Lytechinus pictus: one gene and its partner. The protein of the gene in region 2 purifies or fractionates together with the protein of the main gene of each other region. This does not show direct contact. Links are inferred from orthologs where the notes say so. Each region holds a gene or a part of one and is shown on either strand. Other genes may lie near its edges.

Evidence for each region.
Region 1: the proteins of 3-phosphoinositide-dependent protein kinase 1-like (region 2) and uncharacterized protein LOC129254990 purify together in Homo sapiens (affinity purification with mass spectrometry; 3 studies listed by BioGRID and IntAct, with this or other methods). This does not show direct contact. The link is inferred for Lytechinus pictus from reciprocal best matches to the Homo sapiens genes PDPK1 and YWHAE.

Annotation. Positions count from the first base shown.
Region 1 is NC_087246.1:3,529,433-3,540,658, reverse strand, and holds the start of uncharacterized protein LOC129254990, read right to left. Parts: upstream 4,477-11,226; 5' UTR 2,912-4,476; coding exon 2,567-2,911; intron 1-2,566. UniProt on the Homo sapiens protein: Adapter protein implicated in the regulation of a large spectrum of both general and specialized signaling pathways. Binds to a large number of partners, usually by recognition of a phosphoserine or phosphothreonine motif.
Region 2 is NC_087254.1:723,711-734,349, reverse strand, and holds the start of 3-phosphoinositide-dependent protein kinase 1-like, read right to left. Parts: upstream 4,896-10,639; 5' UTR 4,729-4,895; coding exon 4,702-4,728; intron 1-4,701. UniProt on the Homo sapiens protein: Serine/threonine kinase which acts as a master kinase, phosphorylating and activating a subgroup of the AGC family of protein kinases.

The DNA of each region.
Region 1 (11,226 bases), on a different chromosome or scaffold from region 2:
ATGTTCATTGATACTTGATTAACCTTATGTATAAGTTTCATGAACTAGGTCCATATATTTTCTAAGTTATGATGACATTTCAAAAACTTAACCTTAGGTTAAGATTTTGATGTTGATTCCCCCAACATGGTCTAAGTTCATTGACCCTAAATGACCTTTGACCTTGGTCATGTGACATGAAACTCAGGCAGGATGTTCAGTAATACTTGATTAACCTTATGGCCAAGTTTCATGAACTAGGTCCATATACTTTCTAAGTTATGCTGTCATTTCAAAAACTTAACCTCAGGTTAAGATTTGGTGTTGACGCCGCCGTCGCCGCCGCCGCCGCCGTCGCCGCCGCCGTCGCCGCCGCCGTCGCCGTCGGAAAAGCGGCGCCTATAGTCTCACTCTGCTATGCAGGTGAGACAAAAAATCACAACTGTATTCAACACAACCTGGCACATATTTCACATGTAATCCAACAAAAAGTTATCAACAAAAGCATGGTACACCACGAAGAACAATACTGTATGTCAGTGCTCCATACGGTTCTATTTACTAGCCACATGCGCACACACCAGGTGTAGTTACGAGCACCTTTACGGACTGGTTACCCTTTTTTAAGAGCTACATGTAACTTAACACCAATGAACACGCGGTGTTGATATCACTGACCATAAGGGTCACCAGTCGTTCTTAAAGTCGCTTGTAATAACGAACTGCGCATTTGTGTAGCCGTGCGCTCCAACCATTTATGCATTACAGGGAAAAAAATTTAAAAAATTTCCGGGGGCTCCATTTTAATTTTTTTGTCAAATTTCGGGGGCTCCATTTCTACCTTTCAGGGGCTACTTTTTGCATTTCGGGGGCTCTTTTTGAATGCTCCTTTTTTGTATTTGGAGAAATACCTGTTCACTTATTAATGAATTATTACTTTTTGTTTAATATTGTATGATTTTTTAAGTTATTTTTTTCATGCTTAGAATCTTGGATGTGTGTGTGTGACTGTGAGTTGGACTTGGATATAAATGAATTCAATATCTAATTTCTACTCCGTCTATTCCAGTACAATACCCTGTACTCGGCCATGTACATGTAATAAAGGCCCACATACCCTAACTTTTCGTGAAGTTCTTTGAAAACGCAGATCTCCATGAAAATTGCATTTCTCTATGGGGGAGTCTAAATTTGGTGAGAATGTATTCATTAAGAACTTAAATATACATGACAAAGAAGAAATCATCAAACTTTATGTTAATAGGCCGTTTTGAAAAGCAAAGCCGAATGGCAACTCACCAATGATAGGTTACTAGACTCTGGGATTTCTTTCCTGTGTAATTCAAATTATTTTATCACAGAATTGTGATATCTGTAGGGGAAACATGTGCATCAGAAATTGCACATGGTTGTAGTCATAATGGACCCCTATACATGCAACTGTTTCCCGACCGTCGCGTTGATTTTTTTTTCCATACCTGGTACCATGTGTGTGGAAATACGTGGTACAGAAAAAAGACGCAACTTCGGAATTTGAAATGCGCTCCTCGCTATTTTCAAGGCTTATTCATGATTTTGAGTGTGGATTTTGGATGATTTTTAAATGGTAAGCGGAGCTCGAGCATATGGCGCTAGTGGGTCGTTGAGTTGTTATCACTTGGCAATAATTTCGGGGGCGACATTCAGATTTTATGTCACCCCCCAAAGCATGATTTGGGTGATTTCGAGGGCGACTTTAGGCATTTCCGGGGCGAATTCGCCCGCCGCCCCCATGTATTTTTTTCACTGATGCGTTAGTCGCATCTTGCAGCCAACATGCGTTAGTCGCATTATACAGTCATTTTAATAATTTCAACACTATATTGATTAACCCAAAAATCAGAATTTTGGTTTTAAAATTCGAAATTGAGGTTAAAAAATCAGTTCCGCCAAAATCGGAATGGTTGGCAGGTATGCATGTATACTCAGGCACCAACTGTTACTCACCGAAAATCCCCGCTTAAAATCCTAATTTCTGACTTGATATTTCCAGAGCACCCGAAGGCTTAGTTCAGATTTAAGAACAAAATCGAAAAATCACTAAAATGAAAAAACTGATTTTGTTCAGAGTTCAAGATCTATTTTCTGGCAAATTTATGATGGTATCTTCAAAATGCAATGAAAAAGGCAATTTTACACTATCAAAGAACGGATCTTGTGCGTTCCGGCCGGCTTTGGGCCGCTGAGCTAGCAGCGCAGCCTAACCAGTTCGTTTGGCAATTATTTCGGGGGCGACTTCCAGATTTTATGCCGCCCCCAAGCATAATTTGGGGTGATTTTGGGGGCGACTTTAGGCATTTCCGGGGCGAATTCGCCCGCCGCCCCCGTGTATTTTTTCCCCTAGGGTATGTGTGCTATGGTATGAGTGACGCATCTTCGGGACCTGATTCGCTTGCGTACAATTGCGGCAACAGGGGGCATTTGCACCCCCCCAGAAATTTCAAAATCTGAAAAAAATGTACACATATAGTAAATGCTGCTCTGGTGCCGCCACTGACGGCAAACTAAACTTGTTATAATAAATTTCAAACTTTTGAAGAATACTAACCTCTAATCTGACCTTTTTGACCTCCTCTACTTTGTCTTGGTCACCTTCTTTTGTTTTATCTTTTTCTTTCTGCTCAATGCTGCTGACAATGCGCCATGAGGCACGTCTTGCTCCTATTACATTCTTGTAAGCTACTGACAGAAGGTTCCTTTCTTCTACTGATAAATCTTCATCACCTGAATTGGCCACCGTTTTCATATAGCTAACCATTTCTGCAAAAGAAAAAAAAGATTTATACTGCTTTAACAGATAAATACAAAAGTTATACAGTGCATACCAGAAAAAAAGATTATTACAAATTAAGTGGAGCGCCTCTGGCAGTCTCACCTGCATCACACCATTCATCTAAGCACCGCTAATTTAAAAAAAATACTATCTAACATAATTATTCACAAAAAATACAATTCATATAATGATACAATACTATGTTCATTGAAAATAAATGACATTTGACCTTGATCATGCGACGTAAGACTTGTCAGTGCTACTTGATTACCCCTATATCCACATTTCATAAACTATATCTATAAACTTTGAAAGGTATGGCAGCAATCTAATATTTACCTCCAAAATGGCCAAAGTTAATTGACCTTAAATGACCTTTGACTTTGGTTATGTGACCGGTCATATGACCCAAAACTCGCATGAGATGTTCAGTGATATTTGATCACTCTTACATGTATGTCCAAGTTTTATGAATCAGATCCATAAACGATCAAAGTTATGATGGTAATTCAACAAATACCCCCATCATGGCCAAAGTTCATTGACCTTAAATGACCATTGCCCTTGGTCATGTGACCTGAAACTGGCACATGATATTCAGGGATACATGGTTGCTCTTATGTCCAAGTTTCATGAACAAGATCCATAAAATTTTAAAGTTATGACAATTCCTCAAATAACCCCAATATGGCCAAAGTTCGTTGACCCTAAGTGACCTTTGACCTTAATCATGTAACCTGAAACTCATGCATGATCTTCAGTGATACACTTTTACCCTTATGTCTAAGTTTTATGAACTAGGTCCATATAACATTTCAAAAACTTAACCTTGGTTAAGATTTTGATAAATTTCACAAAAGTGAGCACTAAATGCAAGTAATTGTGATTTTTTGTGAAATAATGGATGAAAACATGATTACTAACGAAATGTATCATTATTTTGTCATGTCATGTATGTAATAAATGAAGCATGTTAATATTCAAAAAGCCACCAAATGCCCTGACAGTATTATGTACAATAATGGGGACAAAATAAATTTACAAGAGTAAATACTAAAATGCACATTACTAGTATTAAAGGGGAATCCAGCCTTGGCCATAAAATGTTGTGTTGGGAAGGAGAAAAATAAATTAAACAGAATGGTGAAAGTTTGAAAGAAATCGGACAAGCATTAAGAAAGTTATAGCTGTTTTAAAATTGAGATCACTAATACTATGTAGATTTCAAATTGGCAACTGGGGAAGTAAATTATGACAAGGGGCAAGGACAACTTTCCCATAGGCCATGTACTTTATTATCAGGGATTTGTGGTTTACTTTTAAGTACCCATTCCACTGGGGCAGTAATCTAAATATAACCCAGGTAGTATATTTTTTTTATGTCCTCATGAACGAAAAATATAATTTGAAATAAAACTTATAGGAAAAATGACATTTTAGCCATAATATGTATTGGAGTACATGAAAGAGTAGTCCTTGCCTTACATAACTATGACATCCCATATGCGGCCAATTTGAAGTCTCCATGGGTATAGTGATTACCAATATTTACAACTTTTAAAAATTCATAACTTTCTTGTTGTTTGTCCAATATTGTTCAAACTTTCACCTATCAACTTGTCCGATTTTTCTTTTCCTTACAAATACAAGTTTTCATTTGGGTTGGATTCCCATTTAAGATAAGCGAGTGGAATACTGGCTAAAGACATAATTTTTAACGAAAGATAAATGCAATTTATGTGATCAATGCTGCATTTTGACATTCAAAATGGCCGCCATAGGCCCATTATACATTGTGTACGATGCGATTGGAGAAATTAATTTTCACAAGAGTAAGAACTACAAAATGCATGTAATTGTGATCACGGAGTAAAATAATGTGTGAAAACATGTTTTCTAGCGAAACATACATGTATCATTTCTTATGTCATGCATGAGATAAATGCTGTATTGTGAAATTCAAAATGGCCCCTATAGGCCCTAACACTATTACCTATGTAAATGGGGACATGTAGGTTTGTAAGAATTTTGATTTACCTAACTATGAAATCCATAAAATCCTGTTGTATGATAAAACATTATTTGAAAACATGATTTTTATAGAATATAGCATTTCTTCTGCCATGTAAGTGATAAATACTGTATTTTGACATTCAAAATAGCTGATGCAATCCCTAATTAAATTATGTTACATGCGTATAGGGAATCTACTTTTTACAAGTGTGAGAACAATAAAATGCATGTACATGTATCTGCGATGTATGAGTAAAAATATTGTCTTCAAAACATGATTTCTAAATACAGTAGATACATCACATATTGGTCATGGAGGTAATAAATTCTGTACTTTGATATAAAAATGGCTGCCAAAGGTTCTAAAAGTATTATGTACATTGTAATTTGGGACATACGCTTTTGACAGAATTTGACTTTGCTTGACTATAAGTATTGCGTAAGAGTGAAATATTGTCTAAAACCATGGTTCCTAACGAGGTATATCATGTCTGGTGCATTTAAGGTGATAAATGCTGTATTCTGAAATGGAAAATGGCTGCCATGGGTCCTTATTGTATTACTGTATATACAATTTGAATGAGAACAGATAATTTTCACAAAAGGGCATATGGCGGCCATTTTGAATTTTGAAATATAATATTTATCACCTAAATTTTAGATGATATATTTCGTTAGTAATAATGTTTTCAGACAATACTTTACTCATACAACACCATTTAGTCAAGCAAAGCAAAAATGTATCAAAATCATTTGTCCCCATTCACATTGTACATAATACTGTTGAGGCCTGTAGCGGCCATTTTGACTTTCAAAATACAGTATTTGTAACCAACCTGGCAGAAGAACTAATATATCTTGTTTGAGATTATGCTTTCAGACAAAATTTTACTCATAGATCACAATTACGTGCATTTATGGTGCTCACTCGTGTGAAAATTTATTTCCTAGTTCACATTGTACATAAAACAATCAATGTCTATGGCAGCCATTTTGAAAGTCAAAATACAGTATTAAACACAAACTTTAAACCTGAATGATATATTTCGTTAAAAATTATGTTTTTATGTTTTATCCCATTTATTCATCACAAATAAATGCACTTCAGTGCTCACTCTTGTGATTTCTTTCATCCTCAATCTCATTGTACATAATACTGTTAGGGCCTTTGGCGGCCATTTTGAATATCAAAATACAGCATTTATCACATACATGGCATATTAAATAATATATTTCGTTATCATTTGTGTTTTTAGTCAGTATGCCATTTCGTTTCTCTTAATAATATGCATTTTAATGCTTAATCTTGCGATTTTTGTTGGCCCCTTTGCCATAGAAACTTTTTGGGCCAGTAGCATGCTATTTTGAATATTAAATACAATTTTCCCATACATTACATAATAAATGATATATCATGTCAGCATTGATGATTTTCATATATTACTTCGTCCATAGATCACAATTACTTGCAGTTTAGTGATCATTTTTGTGTACAAAATTAATTTTCCCTATTTATATTGTACATAATAGTGTATACAGAGGTCTGTGGCGGCCATTTTGAATATCAAGAAATAAATATTTGTCAGAAAATGTTTTTTTCAGAGAGTATTTCACTCCTGCAACACAATTACATTCATTTTATAGCCAATTTGCTTGCAATTAGATGATTTTAATGGGTAATATGCATGTCTTGGCGGCCGTATTGGATTTTGCCAATTTGCGGAAAATGCTCAAGGTTACACGAGTGGCATCCTTCAGATTCGTATTCAGCACCCTCGAATTGACAAGAACCATACAAAAATATTGTATATATGAAAACACAAGGTTATGCCTCTTCTATCCTGGACTAATATCCAAAATTCATGTTAAGACATTGAATGCTAGACAAATTCTGAAAGTGATAGTGAGGTTGTGATGCGGGAAATGTGAATGTTTCCTCCTCTCCTACGCCGGGAAAGACACGGTAGCTGTAGCATAATATGATGATATCGTGATGTGATGTACCGGTACCAGTACCGTATCGTACTTTGCAATGTACAAGAACGTCAGTGCATACTGTTTGTGTACACTGTGAGGTGAGTGTGTAAGTGGCCAATAATGTTGAACCTTTCTTCCTATCATTTGTAGATGAATTGATCAAGAACAGCAGATTTCCATTTATCGGTTATCTCTTTTGATACTTTGAAATCTTTATAACTTAGTTTTTGTTTCTTGGTACCTCAAATATGCATGTAAATGTGAGAAGGATTTAGAAAGAGAATGTGATTATTTTTTTTTTTTGTCCAAAGTTGGGGGTGCGGTTAATCCATGGGTGAGGTTTATAGGCTGTTACGGTATGAAATAAAGCAAATGAACAATTGAAGCAATCGAATGAATGTGAATGTAGAGGGCGTCAACACTTAACAGCATAAATGCGAAAAAACAAACAGAACAAAATGACTGCAAGAAAATTATTTCATAACTATATGTACTCTTCGTTGACCAAGGTTTGTATATTATAAAAGTATCATGTGAAAATTAAAGGGCTGTTAAAGTTAAGAAAATTCTGTCAATATCACGCTAAGATATCTTACATATATCGATAACTATCGACAGAAGAACATAAAAAATATGCTTTTTTTATCCATTACAGCGATGTCTCATACTCACGTTGGTCAAAATTTGTATCTGCCACTGTACCAAGAATGTTTTAAAATCTACGTTCATCATAAGTAAATGATTACATAACATCTCTTAACATAAATACTAATGTTGTAACCCGCAAGTGAAAACCCGAACCGTACCGTCCCGTATAATCCAATAATTTGCAAGCGGGACCCGCTGACCCGTCGGGTTTTAACCCGCAAGTAAATTTATCTTTGAAAAATGAAAATTATTTCTGCAATCCCCACACTATACAGGCTCAAATCACGAAAATATATGCCAACTACTACAATTTGCAAATTCGCCTTTTATTCCGGAGAGAAAATGTTTTTGGGGTTACTTTGTACCCGAAATGGGTCGGCTCTGATCTCGTAATCGAAAGCATTGCGCAATTAACTCCTCGGATTGGAGCCGCAGCTCAGCGCGCGCTAGCTACATGTAGCCCAGGCTGCCCAGCAAATTCGATGTTCAGTTTCCCGTCGCCCGCCCGAGTTATGAAATTTGGACCGCGTTTAAAAATCAAATTCTGAAAATAATTCATTATTTTACTATTTTGACATAGATCTAGATTCAGAACTGATATAAAACATTAATATAAGCTTTTCAGTCACAATTACTTGTATATCATGTAAATACCTGTAATTCTTTTCTTGTTTTTTTCTTGTGAATGGAATGACACTGCATGCTCAACCACACCTCGAGCGATGTTCGTGCAGGCTCCAATCAACTTCACTTCTGCTACACTATGCTCTACCTACCCGATGTAGCGGTAGTGAAGTGGAGTGGAGCCTGCACGAACATCGCTCGAGGTTTGGTCGAGCTACCTCAATAAATCCCACAGTCTAGTAACCTCGCATTGGTGAGTTGTCATACGGCATATCAGACAAAAAAAATCATCAAACAAAACTCAATCTGTTTTACAAGGCCGACGGGAGGCTCACGCACGTACGCATTGGCGCTTGTACTAGCTAGCCAGTCTGAGCTCTGTCTCTCTGCCAGAGCTCTGGGGGACAATTCGCTCTGTAAAGGCCTCAATAATGGTGATTTTATGTTTCAGACAGAGTTTATATTTCGGGAATATTATTCAAAACTGCCAATAAAGTTAGATGATTTCTTCATTGTCATGTATATTTAAGTTATTAATGAGTTCATTCTCACCAAATTTAGACTCCCCCATAGAGAAATGCAATTTTCGTGGAGATCTGCGTTTTCAAAGAACATCAGGAAAAGTTAGGGTATGTGGGCCTTTATTACATGGCCAAGTACTGGAATTAGATGGAGTAGAAATTAGATATTGAATTCATTTATATCCAAGTTCAACTCATAGTCACACCCACACAAACACACCCACATCCAAGATTCTAAGCATGAAAAAAATAACTTTAAAATCATGCAATATTAAACAATAAGTAATAATTAATTTAATAAGTGAACAGGGATTCCTCAAAATACAAAAACGTATTTGAAAAGAGCCCCCGAAATGAAAAAAGTAGCCTCCAAAACGGTAGAAATGGAGACCCTGAAATATTATAAAAAATGAAAATGGAACCCCCGAAAAAAAAATGATTGATTTGCTCCCTGGCTTCAAGACAGTTCCACAGAATAAAAGTGCGTTCAAAGGTTACAAAAGGTCAAACTTTCATCTTCTGGAAAATAATGAATAATGAAATCCTCATTATGAGCTGGAAAAAATGGGACGGGAAACTCGACATCGAGTTTCATTGGCCTATGCGATTGCTTTTGACTAGATCGACTACTGTGCTGCGCTGCACTGGCGCGCGCTCCTTCTTCGAAAGAGCAACTGATGTATTTATGTCGAACTGTCTCAGTCCTGTTCACTGTTCACAAGACAAAAATACGCCAGCATTTTTTTAAAAGGAAATATCTACGTCTCTAAAAGAATCCGCCACGTAAGAAGCACATGATCCTAACTCAATTTTCATTGTTAATGTTTTTATTATGCGTCGTTACTTCTCCCTTTTTTTTCGCATGACGGTCTGCGGGTTTGAGAATGAACTCGGCCCGGCCCGCAACCCGCGATCGGGGGCATACCGGCAGGTTAACCCGTACCGCAACGGGTGCGGGTTACAACATTAATAAATACATCCTCATCTTTCACGTTATTAGCATTATTTTAGGGTTGAAGTTTTATCATTAATTTTGGGGCTTTCTGGACATCATTCTGAGCAGTCAACGTCTTTCGCCTATCCACCATTTTGATATCAAGCTGTACATCTTTGAATGTAGAGGGCAGCAACACAGGGCCGGTTGCTACCTTCTACGATTACTTTAGTTGGTACTTCTCTAAAATTGAGCTTTGCACTTGTGATGTTTTCAATTCGATCGAAATGGAGTGGAGTGCAGTCATGATGTTTAGAATGTCATGATTATAGCGAAGTGGGGGTGAGATCGTGTTTTGTGGCTAGTAAGTATTCGTATTTTGTTGAGATTTTGGAGCAATTTCTGTTGCTATTCTGTGCAGTTTGAGGAAAAATATGTTTTCCATGATTTTCCATTTGAAAAGCCACTTTCAAAAGGCCATTTACGTGAATTCCTTGAAATCAAGGAAAATCATTGTGTCCCTACATAATAGTGGGTATTATCGACAACGAGAGAAACGTTATCGATATCGCTAAGTGGCAAAAAACAAATGATTATCGACAAGACTATCGATAAAGCCGTTATCGATAACAGCCATAAAAAATTATACTGATCAAATATGTACGGCCGCAAGAGTTGGTGGTTAGAAGTATGGTTTGCCGGAATGCGACTGTTTTCCTGATGGGCACAGCCCCGAAGGAAAATGGTTTGATTCGCATCACTAAGGGAACCATGGATGGATCGAAGGCAATATATAATTGGTTTATCCGTCATTAGTATTATCATTTAATACTGAATAACAATAAAGAATCCCGGTCTTCAGGTGTAAGATCATTAATATTTGAAAAAGTTGATTGTTCATTGATTGGCACTCTGTATGCACGTGATTAGTGCTGTAGCAAAACCGAACTGAACCGAATACAGTGGCTTGGTTCGGTATGAAAATTCCAGGCACATTAATTTTTCCAAGAATTGTGTATTAATACTTTAGGAAAAGACTTTACAAATTTAGGTAAAAATAATTTTTTTCATTGGTTAGTGATTATGCACAATAAGAATTCCACACAAAATATTTTTAAAATGTAGTTATGAAATCTTTGACAACCTCATCTTTGATTAAATTGTTATCAATTTCAAAACTTTTATAAACATGATTTGACATTTGAAGCTAAACTCGGTGTACAAGTGTGGTTGAATAAGTATGGCTGTAATCGATCGAAATCGTTTTTTATTTAATTCAAGAAAATAAACGAGACAAATTCTTTCTCATAACTAACAATGTAATATTACAAATATACTTTTTTCACCTTCTGAAATGCCCATATTAATATTAGAGCTGTGGTTGAACCGCCGAACCAAACAGAAATTCCGAACAAGAAAACCGAACACAAAGGCTTAGTTTGGTAGTTCAGAATGAACTACCAGGCACATGTATATAGTGTTATTGGTCACAACTTGATTTTGATTGGGACGCAACATAGGACTAGCTTGCTCGCCTTGCTGATTGAAAGCTGTGCAGCATGTGCATAACTCTCTCAGCCAATTGCATGCGAGCTATGCATGTTGTGGATGACCTTTTACATCTAATTTTAATTTACCTCAACTTTTGCTTCAACAAAGGTTTTATTGTAATTGAAAAAATAATAAGTCTCACTAACTATATTTTTATATTAAAAAAA
Region 2 (10,639 bases):
AAGCAAAACAACGCAAGGTCAAACAAGGTATAACAAATTAGTATGATACTGACATTCATAAAGTATCAATAACTGTTCTCATTATCATTACTCTTTATATTTTTTATTAAATGTATTCTTCTTTATTGGATTATACATAGGGCCTACATACATGTACATGTAATATAGATCAGCAGCACAAGCTAAAATCGTCAATTTACAGTACTGGTATTCATGAACTACACACGTGCAAAGTGTACATGTACATGTATGTGTCCATGACCATGTACGTACATCTATGAGTATTTCCATCTATAAAATGTAAGAGTAAGGAAAACCACAATGTCAAGTACGGTCTTAAAGATTCCCCAAAATCACATAAAAAGAATCTTAAGTGAATGAAAATTATTCATCAGACATAGATCCCACAAAATGGTGAAAGTTCATTAACCACAGATGACCTGTAACCTTGATATGATTCAGTCAAAATGGTCCTTATTGTCAAATCCATAAAAATTTGAATATTGTATAATTCAAACAATAAAAAACAAAATAAAAAGTGAGTGAGGGACATCATCGACTATCTCATTTGAGTTGTGCATACATGTATCACTGTTTTGTGAAAAATAAGCAAAACTTTAGAGTGTCATAACTTTCTTATTTTCAGTGTTTTGCTAGTTTGATTTTTCTCTATTTATTCAAATCAACATTTTTATGGGGGGGACTTGACCTTTAATGGGATATACTGTACTGCACATAGGCCAACAAGTTACATGTATTTGTGCAACATTTGGTATATACAATGCTCTTGTAAACACATGTATGTATTTTCTATTGAAAATTGAATATCCATCGATGTTTCTCACTTTCTTTTGTGAAATTAAAACAATTACCTTAAGTTGGTCTTTGTCTCAGGATGCTACATAACTTTTTAGAAGCACTTGCCCAGTCGGGCAAGTAAATTTTTAAACAGTTCAAATATACTTGCCCAAAAATCTATTTCACTAGCCTGAAAAATCATTGAAAAAAAATCTACCTTGTTATTGCCATGACCAAAATTAGGGTCAATATAATATCATATCGACCTTTAATTTGGTCACTCTACTGTGAGAATTTTGCTTGCCCAATTCGGGCAAGTAGTTTTTGTCTTTACTTCAAAACACTTGCCCAACTCTAACTTTTACTTGCCCCCGGCAATCGGGCAAGTGCTTTATGTAGCACCCTGGTCATATTTTGTCCATAATAACATATCTTCATCAATCACATTTTATTGAGTGCAGAATTGAAAACATTACCTTGGTCCTTTACACAAAATATTGCAGTTTTATTATACATGTACAAGAGAAAATGCAATGTGAAAAGCACTAGAAAATTTGAAATATGTCTTTTAATTGATTATGTACAGTGATATACCAGTACATTCAGCTTGTGTTTGTGTGTTTTTTATGGATTAAGTACATGTACATGTGTCATATATGATGGAAATGATAAGAAAATTATTTAGCAAAAAAAATAAAAAAAATCCTCATTTTAGAAATGACATTCAATAAACTGTATTTTCATAATTTCTTCAAAGGACAAGTCCACCTGGGCAACAACAAAAATTATTTGAATAAAAAGAGAAAATTCCAACAAGCATAAAAGTTCACTGAAAATTTCATCAAAATCGGATGTAAAATAAAAAAAGTTATGACATTTTTAAGTTTTGCTTAATTTCACAAAACAGTTATAATGCATATCCTGGTTGATATGCAAATGAGGAGACTGGTGACATCATCCCCTTGCCACTATTTCTTTTGTATTTTATTAAATGATATATGAAATATTTCAATTTTCTCCTCATTGTCAAGTGAACCAGTGATTAATTCCTCCCTATACATGTGGAATTAGCGTTGTTTGATACTATGGTTCAGTCAAGTCGGTCCCTATGGTCAAATCTGTTAAAAATGAAATATTGTAAAATTCAAACAATAAAAAACAAAAGAAATAGTGAGTGATGGACATCATCAACTGACTCATTTGCCTGTCACTGAGTTGTGCATATCACTGTTTTGTGAAAAATAAGCGGAATTTTAAAATGCCAAACTTTCTTATTTTACATCCGATTTTGATGAAATTTTCAGTGTTATGCTAGTTATATTTTTCTCTATTTATTCACATCAACATTTTGCTGGGGTGGACTTGACCTTTGATAACGAATCCCCACTTAATTGCAATGTGGGTCTAAATAATTGTGAAAAAATATATATATATGAACATAAAAAGAAATGACACAAAATCAAACAAAAACAATTATAACTTACACTGCAGATTTGATTACTTCAAGATTTCAAACGTTTTGTTATGAAGTTCATGAGTTATCAAAATGGTGGAAATAAGATGGGATCTATATAAAGTTTAAATAGGAATGAATATGAAATTGATAAAATGATTGAATAAAATGAAATGATCATACTTCCACAGTTTCTCTTTTTATATACATGTAGTATTTTATATTATTATTACGATAGCACATTTCAATAATATTAAAGAAAGAATGTGGAATCTCAGGCAGCTTTAACCTTGTTCTCTGCAACAGCTAGTATTCAGTGTTTGCTGAAAGAAGGCCGTGTGTTGGCCTAGTGGTCCATACCCTACCGGTACTTGCATTAGCTCATAAATGTTTATTGGCTAATGCAAGTATTTTACAATTAACGATATTCATCAGCCGATTGATTTTTTTATTTTTTCTTTAAATTTGCACTGCTAATGATATCGTAGCCCTCTCTTATCTTGTAACTCTTGTAACTAGGCTACGAACAAAGAAGGAAAATTGTGACAAGATCATCGGTGAGTATCTGCTCATCTTCTTACGTTATTTTTCTTAATATAGGGAGACAAGAAAAAAAGAAGCATCAAAAAGTAAAAATTTAGTAGAATTAATCAAAATTGTATTGACCAAACCTTAACCCCGCTGAAAAACCAAGAAATCCGATAGGAAACGGCTTTAGAACAAATATCCGTCGTCAATCATCGAATCATGCGCCGGAGCTCGCAGTGGAAGTAGTCAGGCGATCATTTAGCATGTTGATGTTTTAGAACTGATTTGAAAGAGTAAAAATATTTCGCCACCGCGACAAGAATCGGCCATGAACAAAGTTAGTGTACCGTGGGTGGTCGATTTTAAAAGACGGGTGCAAATGAGCAAATGGAAAATTGTCGCATTCGTTGTTCGTCGATATATGGTAGGGGGTCCTAAAGCTGCGCGGGTCCTAAAGCTACTCCCATCGCGCATGCAGTTTTTATGGCAAACAGGCAACTGCGCACTCTGTGTGTGGAACTGTGACTGCAGAGTGACGAACGATTCCTATTCAATTTTTTCTACAGAGGCTGCAGTAAATCTCTAATACTCTAAATGCAGAGAAAACCAACAACTGTTTGGAATTTTGGAGTTATAATATTCACTTTAATTTCATTTTATCCTATGATAATGTGAATATATTTTAGAAATTGAGGCACAGGAAATACAATTTTTTTGCATGATAAATCAAGTGCGTTGCTTTAGGACCCCTTCTACATCGGGCGGCGAAATTAAGAGGTGTTCGGAAAACACGGCGGGATTTTCGTGTAAGTTTTGCGAGATTTTCTTCTTGGTTAATGGTCTTTATAATATTTGCCACAAATTAGTGAAAGATAATTTGTTGAAAAATTAAAATTGGGATAGTTTTACTTTTAGTTGTTTGAAAACAAAGTGCGTAGCTTTAGGTCCCCCCATCATTACCTCGAGTGAAGTTGGTGCAGTCTCCACTCCACTTCACTACCGCTACACTACGCTGCACCTACCCGAACTTCGAGACCATGAACTCGATCGGATATTCCGAGTGACAAAAGGTGGGATTTTATGGGGAGAAAATACAAAATTCATGCAACATCACGATCTTTAAAAACAAGTGCAACTAATAAGTTTCACTTCTTTTCCATGCTTCTATCAGTCTCAAAATTGATGATTTAGAGCCAACATGAAGTTCCTCACACGTATAAATATTAATGCGCTGCCGACTTCAAAACATCGCATGCGGGAGGTACCGGGTCTGGTCCGAGCTCGGACCCTCGCGTGCATGCGATGTTCTGAAATCGGCAGCGAATTATTACGTGTGAGGAACTTCATGTTGGCTCTAAATCATCAATTTTGAGACTGATAGAAGCATGGAAAAGAAGTGAAACTTTGTGTAAAGTAAGAATATTAGTTGTAGGCCTACTTGTTTTTAAAGATCGTGATGTTGCATGAATTTTGTATTTTCTCCCCATAAAGTCCCACCTTTTGTCACTCGGAATATCCGATCGAGTTCATGGTCTCGAAGTTCGGGTAGGTGGAGCGTAGTGTAGCGGTAGTGAAGTGGAGTGGAGCCTGCACGAACTTCGCTCGAGGTACCCCATCATCATCATATACGCGGATTGAATCGGAGTCGCCGAGCGAAACATGGGAATCTGATCTGCTCAATTTTCTGCTCAAATGAGATGAAAACTGGGTAAAATTGATGAATATTTTCGCAGATACGATGCTTAGAAGATTAGGTGGCCTCCGATTAGGTGGTCGATAAGGGGTAGTTCCAACCATATGCAAATTACGAATACCCTACTCTGTGCGCCAGTGCAGTGCATGAGATTGAGAGTGCCCATGTCATGAATGGCAGGGCCTGTGCTGAAAAAATTAGTTAACTCACCGGTCGGTCGACTACTTACATATTCTGCAGAATTTACACTTGCCATCGCACGTAGAACAATTGAAGAAGTCCTCAAATTGCTGCAGATATACTTAGTCACCTAGAGAATATCATATCAAATCAAACAATGTCCTCTTTTTAACACAAAATTGTTTTTTAACGTCTTGTGGAATTACAATCGGCCCTGAAGCTTAACCCCCAATTTGTAAACACGTTGAAGATGGCCAGCCAAATAAATATTTCCTTTCTTTCGTCGTATGGTATCTGCAATTATTCATATTGGCTTTCGTTTTCAATGACATACAGTATCACTCACTTTGAAGTTATAAATAAACAAATTCATGAAAATATAGACCTATGAATGTTTCTAAATTTAATTTCATCTGTCATCAGTAGAAAAAAAAACACCTACGGTGGAGTACGAATGTACCGTAAAACGGGACTAGGTCTGATAAAATAAATTTATCACCCGTGCAAACTTCCAAACTTTAATATACGGACAGGGGTTAATTCCTGACCCCTGCAGGCTGGAGGCTGCTTGAAATGTTTTCCTTTCAGAGTTTCGAAAAATTCAAATGAATGCTTGAATAACATTATCTAACTTCAGTAATGGCAGAAATTCAGCTTCTTCTTCTTCTGTTGATTTCCTCCAGTCCTGGAGAACTGCGAGATCCAGTGGATACGCAGAAAAAAGTGGTTTGATAAATATGTATAGAGACAAAAGAGAATGGCTCAGAACGAAGTTGGAATAAAGTGTATCACAAGGCTGTGTAGTTGTTGTTCACCAACAGAGAACGTTTGACATGAAGCTCATGCAAGAAATGAAGGGAGTAGTAATGAAGTTGAGGAGCTGAAGCAACAGGTATACTAGTTGCCTTAGTGGCTTAGTGTCCAATCCAAGAAGTACAACATTAGTAATTCAGCTGAGCGACTTGTGACGCAGGAGTCATGGCAAGATCGTGTTGGAGATACGGAGGAAGGTTGGCGAGGAACCTTTTCCTTTCATCTGCATAGAGGGTACATTCTCCTATAAGGTGGGTTACAGTCTCATCCTTGATATCTTTGATATCTTTACTTTGGAACTTATGAGTTCATGCAAAGAGTAAACCACGGTCCAAATGTTTTTTAATACCCCTTCATTTGCGCCGATCAGTAGGTTAATTCAGATATGAGCACATGAGAGTCCGGGATGAGAGTCCTTGTCTCTGTATCTCATTTACTTTAATCATGGAGCTATGAATAGCTCTATGCTTGAATGATGGACTTATAAAGATGATAGTTTATTGATGATGATTTTTTTTTTTTTTTTTTAAACAAGTGCACACCTAGTTACCAATTATGCATATAGCATTTCCATTTATTTGAAAGCAGGATAAAAGAGCATCGTAGATTAAATGCCTTGCTCACGGGCATATCTGCCGCGGCCGGGGATCGAACCCCAGACTTTTTCATGTATAGCCAGGCGCCTTAGACCACTCGACCACGGTTGATGATTTTTTTGTTTTCAATGATATTTTATTTCTTCCTCTTAATATGATTTTACAATTTCAAAAATCACAAAACAAGATATTCACAGAGTATCGCATATAGAAAACAAAACAGGTAAGATCATATAAAATTCATATCAAAATTATCTCAAAATAATACAACTACAATTTCTTCAAGACATTAACACGAAAATGTTTTTATGTCAAATGTTATGACTTTGTTTAAAAGTGCATGATATAAGGGGGAAAAACCCCATAAAAGTACATAATATAGAAGAAAAAGTTACCTCAATATTTATATCATGTCAAATTATGTCAAATCAAATAAACTACTTTTTCTCATGAAACTGATCTTTAAGAGGAAGGTTATGTATCTTTCACTCACCACACGCACCTCACACTCCCTAGCACACAAACATACCATCCCCCAAAAAACACCGTCCACACACACACACACATACACCCCAAAAAACACATCCACACACACACACACATAAACAAACCCTCACGCAAAAATATCATACAACAGGCGCACATCCGTTCCGGTCTGTCGATCTGTAACTTGTATCATTAAAAAAAAAAAAAAAAAAAGATAAAATAAAATAGAGTACGATAAATGAAGAGTCAAAGAAATGCACCAATTTGTTCCCATTTTCTTAAGTGTACTCCCAACTTTCCTGTTTTCTTGGCTATATTATACTCTTCGTTTCCAGGGGCCGCGGAACGGTTTTCAAAGTGGGGGGGGGGGGGGCTGACCATGCAAAAAATCACAATCGTATGGTAATTTTTGCGTTTTTGTACACGGTTTTGGAAAAAAGTGGGGGGCTGAAGCCCCCCCAGCCCCCCCCCCCCCGGTTCCGCGGCCCCTGGTTTCTGTCAACTTTAATCATATCTGTTGCTTTTTGTAGCGACGGTAGCTCGCGCCCTTTTCTCTAGAATTAAAAATTATATGTTTTAGCAGAAAGATTATACAGTTTATTGCATGTATTTCCCACACATTTACCAGATAGACCGATGAAAATTGTTTTCCAATCATCAATCCTAACTTCCTTTAAATGAAGCTTTTTGATGACCTCCTTCTTTAACTGTTTAACCTTTAAACAATCTAAAAATAAATGTTGGTATGTTTCGACCTGTTGTTTACAAAAAGAACAAAGATTGTCTGACTTAAAACCAAATTGGAAGAGCTTCTCTTTTGTATACACTGCCCCATGTAATAGTTTGTACTGTAACTCCCTTTGTTTACTACATATCAAAGCATTTTTCAATCTTGTAAAAGTTTCTTTCAACTCCCCTATTCCAAGATCATATTCACAATGTCCATCAAAAACCTTTAATGTATACTCTTTTTGAAATTGCTCAATAAAGTAATTATATACATATCTGGCTTTTAAATCCATAAATTTATGTAGGTAACCAAAGATCTTCAGTTCTATTTGAAAGTTTTCACTATCTATAACTATAAAATCACTTTGTATCCATATTCTTTTTTAATCACAGAAAAAAATATTTGAACCATCAGCAGATTATTAGCAGTGAAACCCCGGTTATGGAAGTATGAGACTGGTCTTAGTTGACTTCCTACAATAATATCTGATGCTTGAAATATACCTTTCTGATAGAGTTCAACATCAAAAAATGGTTTATTATGAAGACATATAAATCTGTTGTTAAAAATCACAGGATTGATCTTGTTTTCCTCAAAGTTTCTACATTGATCCAAATCTTGCCATGCTTTCAACATATCTTTATAAAATATTGGTATACCTTGTAAGTCCATTTTATTTGCATCATAATTACAAAGAAATATACTCCGGCCTCCCAATGATCTAAAAAAGTAGTCAAAGGTTACTTTCCAACCTAAATATTTCTCACCATACAGCAGCCTTTTAATCCACATAATTCTCTGAGTTTTAATGAAAACTTCAAAAATAGTACTCTGAGTCCCCCTGCACAATAATCTTGATATAGAATTTTCCGTTTTATTCTGTCATTTCCACCCCAAATGAAATTAAAAGAAATATTTTCAATTTCTTTAAAGATATTTTGAGGAACTGAAATAAGAGAAGAAACATAATTTAATTTTGAAAATACATGTATTTTTAACAATCTAATTTTACCAAACATTGTCAGATCTCGTTGCCTCTACCATCCAATTAATCTTTTGATTTTACTCAAAATTTCCTTATAATTTAAGTCATCTTTTATTGTGGAGTCTCGTGAAAAATATACCCCTAAAATTTGTATTATTGCATTCTATGTCCAAACACAGGTATAACCGGCCTATCACATTCTTCCCCCTACCACATAAAATTTGTCTTATCCATGTTTATTTTCAAACCACTCAATTTCTCAAAATGTCCGAAGACTTTCTTCACCCTATTAACTGAGTACGTGTCTTTTAGAAACAATGTACAATCATCTGCGTACAATACTTGTTTTATTTTTCTTTCACCAAACACAATCCCTTCAATACCCGGATCATTTCGAATAAAATTAGTAAGTAATTCAATAACTATAATAAATAAATAAATAAGGAGAAAGGGGATCTCCTTGTCTTACACCTCTTTTAACCTAAAAATATCCAGTTGAGTGTCCCCCATTCATCACACAGCTACTAACATCATTATAAAGAATTCTAACCCAAGAGCATAATACATTACCAAATCCAAAAGATTCCAATGCTTTAAAGTTGAATTAAGAAGGGGGTGAGTTTCCATAAATATAGGTTCTACATACAATATATAGTATATATAAGTTGTTCAAACACATAGCATGTCACAATAATCCTCTGCCTTCTCGATATTTTGCTTTGAAAGTCTATGAAATTAGCCACCTGTCAGAGCCCGAGAGACGAGTGTACAGAAAAGTCACTCGGAGTGTGACGTCACCGGGGGGAATTTAGTATAAGAGTTGCCTGAATGTCATACAGAAATGCTATGCAGAGAGAGAAAGATATTTTACAATTTTTTTTCAAAGCAACTCAAATCAAACAAATGGGACTGATATGTACAAATCTTTACTTTCCCTGTATAAAAAACAGTATGAATAACCACCATGAACTCTTCAATCATGATGTAAGATAGCAAACAGTGAGTTATTGAATGATATTTTCACTATTTCTCATTTATTTTATCACGATGTTCAATCAAGTGAGTAGCTGGAAAGTAATTCCGGCGGCTAGCTCAGCGCGCGCTGAACGCAATACTAGTACACACAACACCCAGGCATTGAGTGTACTGTTATGGTCTGGTAAGTCGACTTAGTTCATGGCCGTGCAGCGATCCCCTGGCGTTTTTTCTTCTTTTCTTTTGTCTTTGACTCCACTTTTATATCCTCTGGATCATTTCCACTCATAGTTCATTCCACAGAACAATCTTGAACCAAACGTATAGTATTCTTTCTCGGCCTTCTGAGTTGTTTTCTATATTTAATTACGCTAGGGGTCACCGTCACACATACAAACGCAATTCGGAAGTGAGTTGAAGACAGAAAGATATATAGTAATTAGTATACATCTCTATGGTTGAAGACAACAAGAACGGTACGGTAGCTCGACAGCTAGCTGCGCCGGAGCGGGCGGCCGGTCGGCACAAAGCAATTCCGCAACCAACTGTGTTTTTTTGCAAGAGCCGCGTCACACGCGGATAAATATGTCATAATAACACGTCTGCTACGTTATCGACTGGTGAGAAGATCTCGATCAAATGCAAATGTCATATTATTCACCTTGAAATTATTCCTTTAGGGTCTATGGTATCATTCTGAGGGAATTCACATATTTGGAATAATAGTACGGCCACAAATATTTTAATCATTTCCTCTTTGCAAGTTCTATGGCTCGCAGATACAACTTCAACTGCAGTTATTCCATATGAAGGAGTACGTGCATAGTACACAAAACGGCACTGCCTTGTTTTCTACACCGGGACCGAATACCCCCCGGTGACGTCACACTCAAAGAACACCCGTCTCGGTAGGCATTGCAGGAGCGAACTCAGGGAAAATGGGTAGGCATAAATCGTTCAAATTCACTATTTTGAAAAAAGAAAATGGGGGGTCGAATCACCTATTAGTGTTTGGGGGTTGTAAGGTTGCTATTAATGTAAATATCTCAATATTTGGAACCGTCTTCTTAATTCAACTTTAAATAGAAGTCTATGTGATACACAATCAAATGCTTTTTCGAAATCTACAGCAATTACAAATCCTACTGGCTGATATAAGGATTGAAATAATACATCGTCTATTAACCTCACTGCCTCTCCAATGTTTCTATCTTTAACATACCCTACTTGGTCATAATGAATAATGTCCCCCAGTACCTCTTTTACCCTTTTAGCTAAAACTTTTGACAATATTTTGTAGTCTACATTAAGAAGTGTTATCGGTCTGTAATTTTTTCATATACAAATGATCTTTTCCATCCTTTTCAATAAGGGTAATTACTCCCTGTCTCTGCGAGTTTGA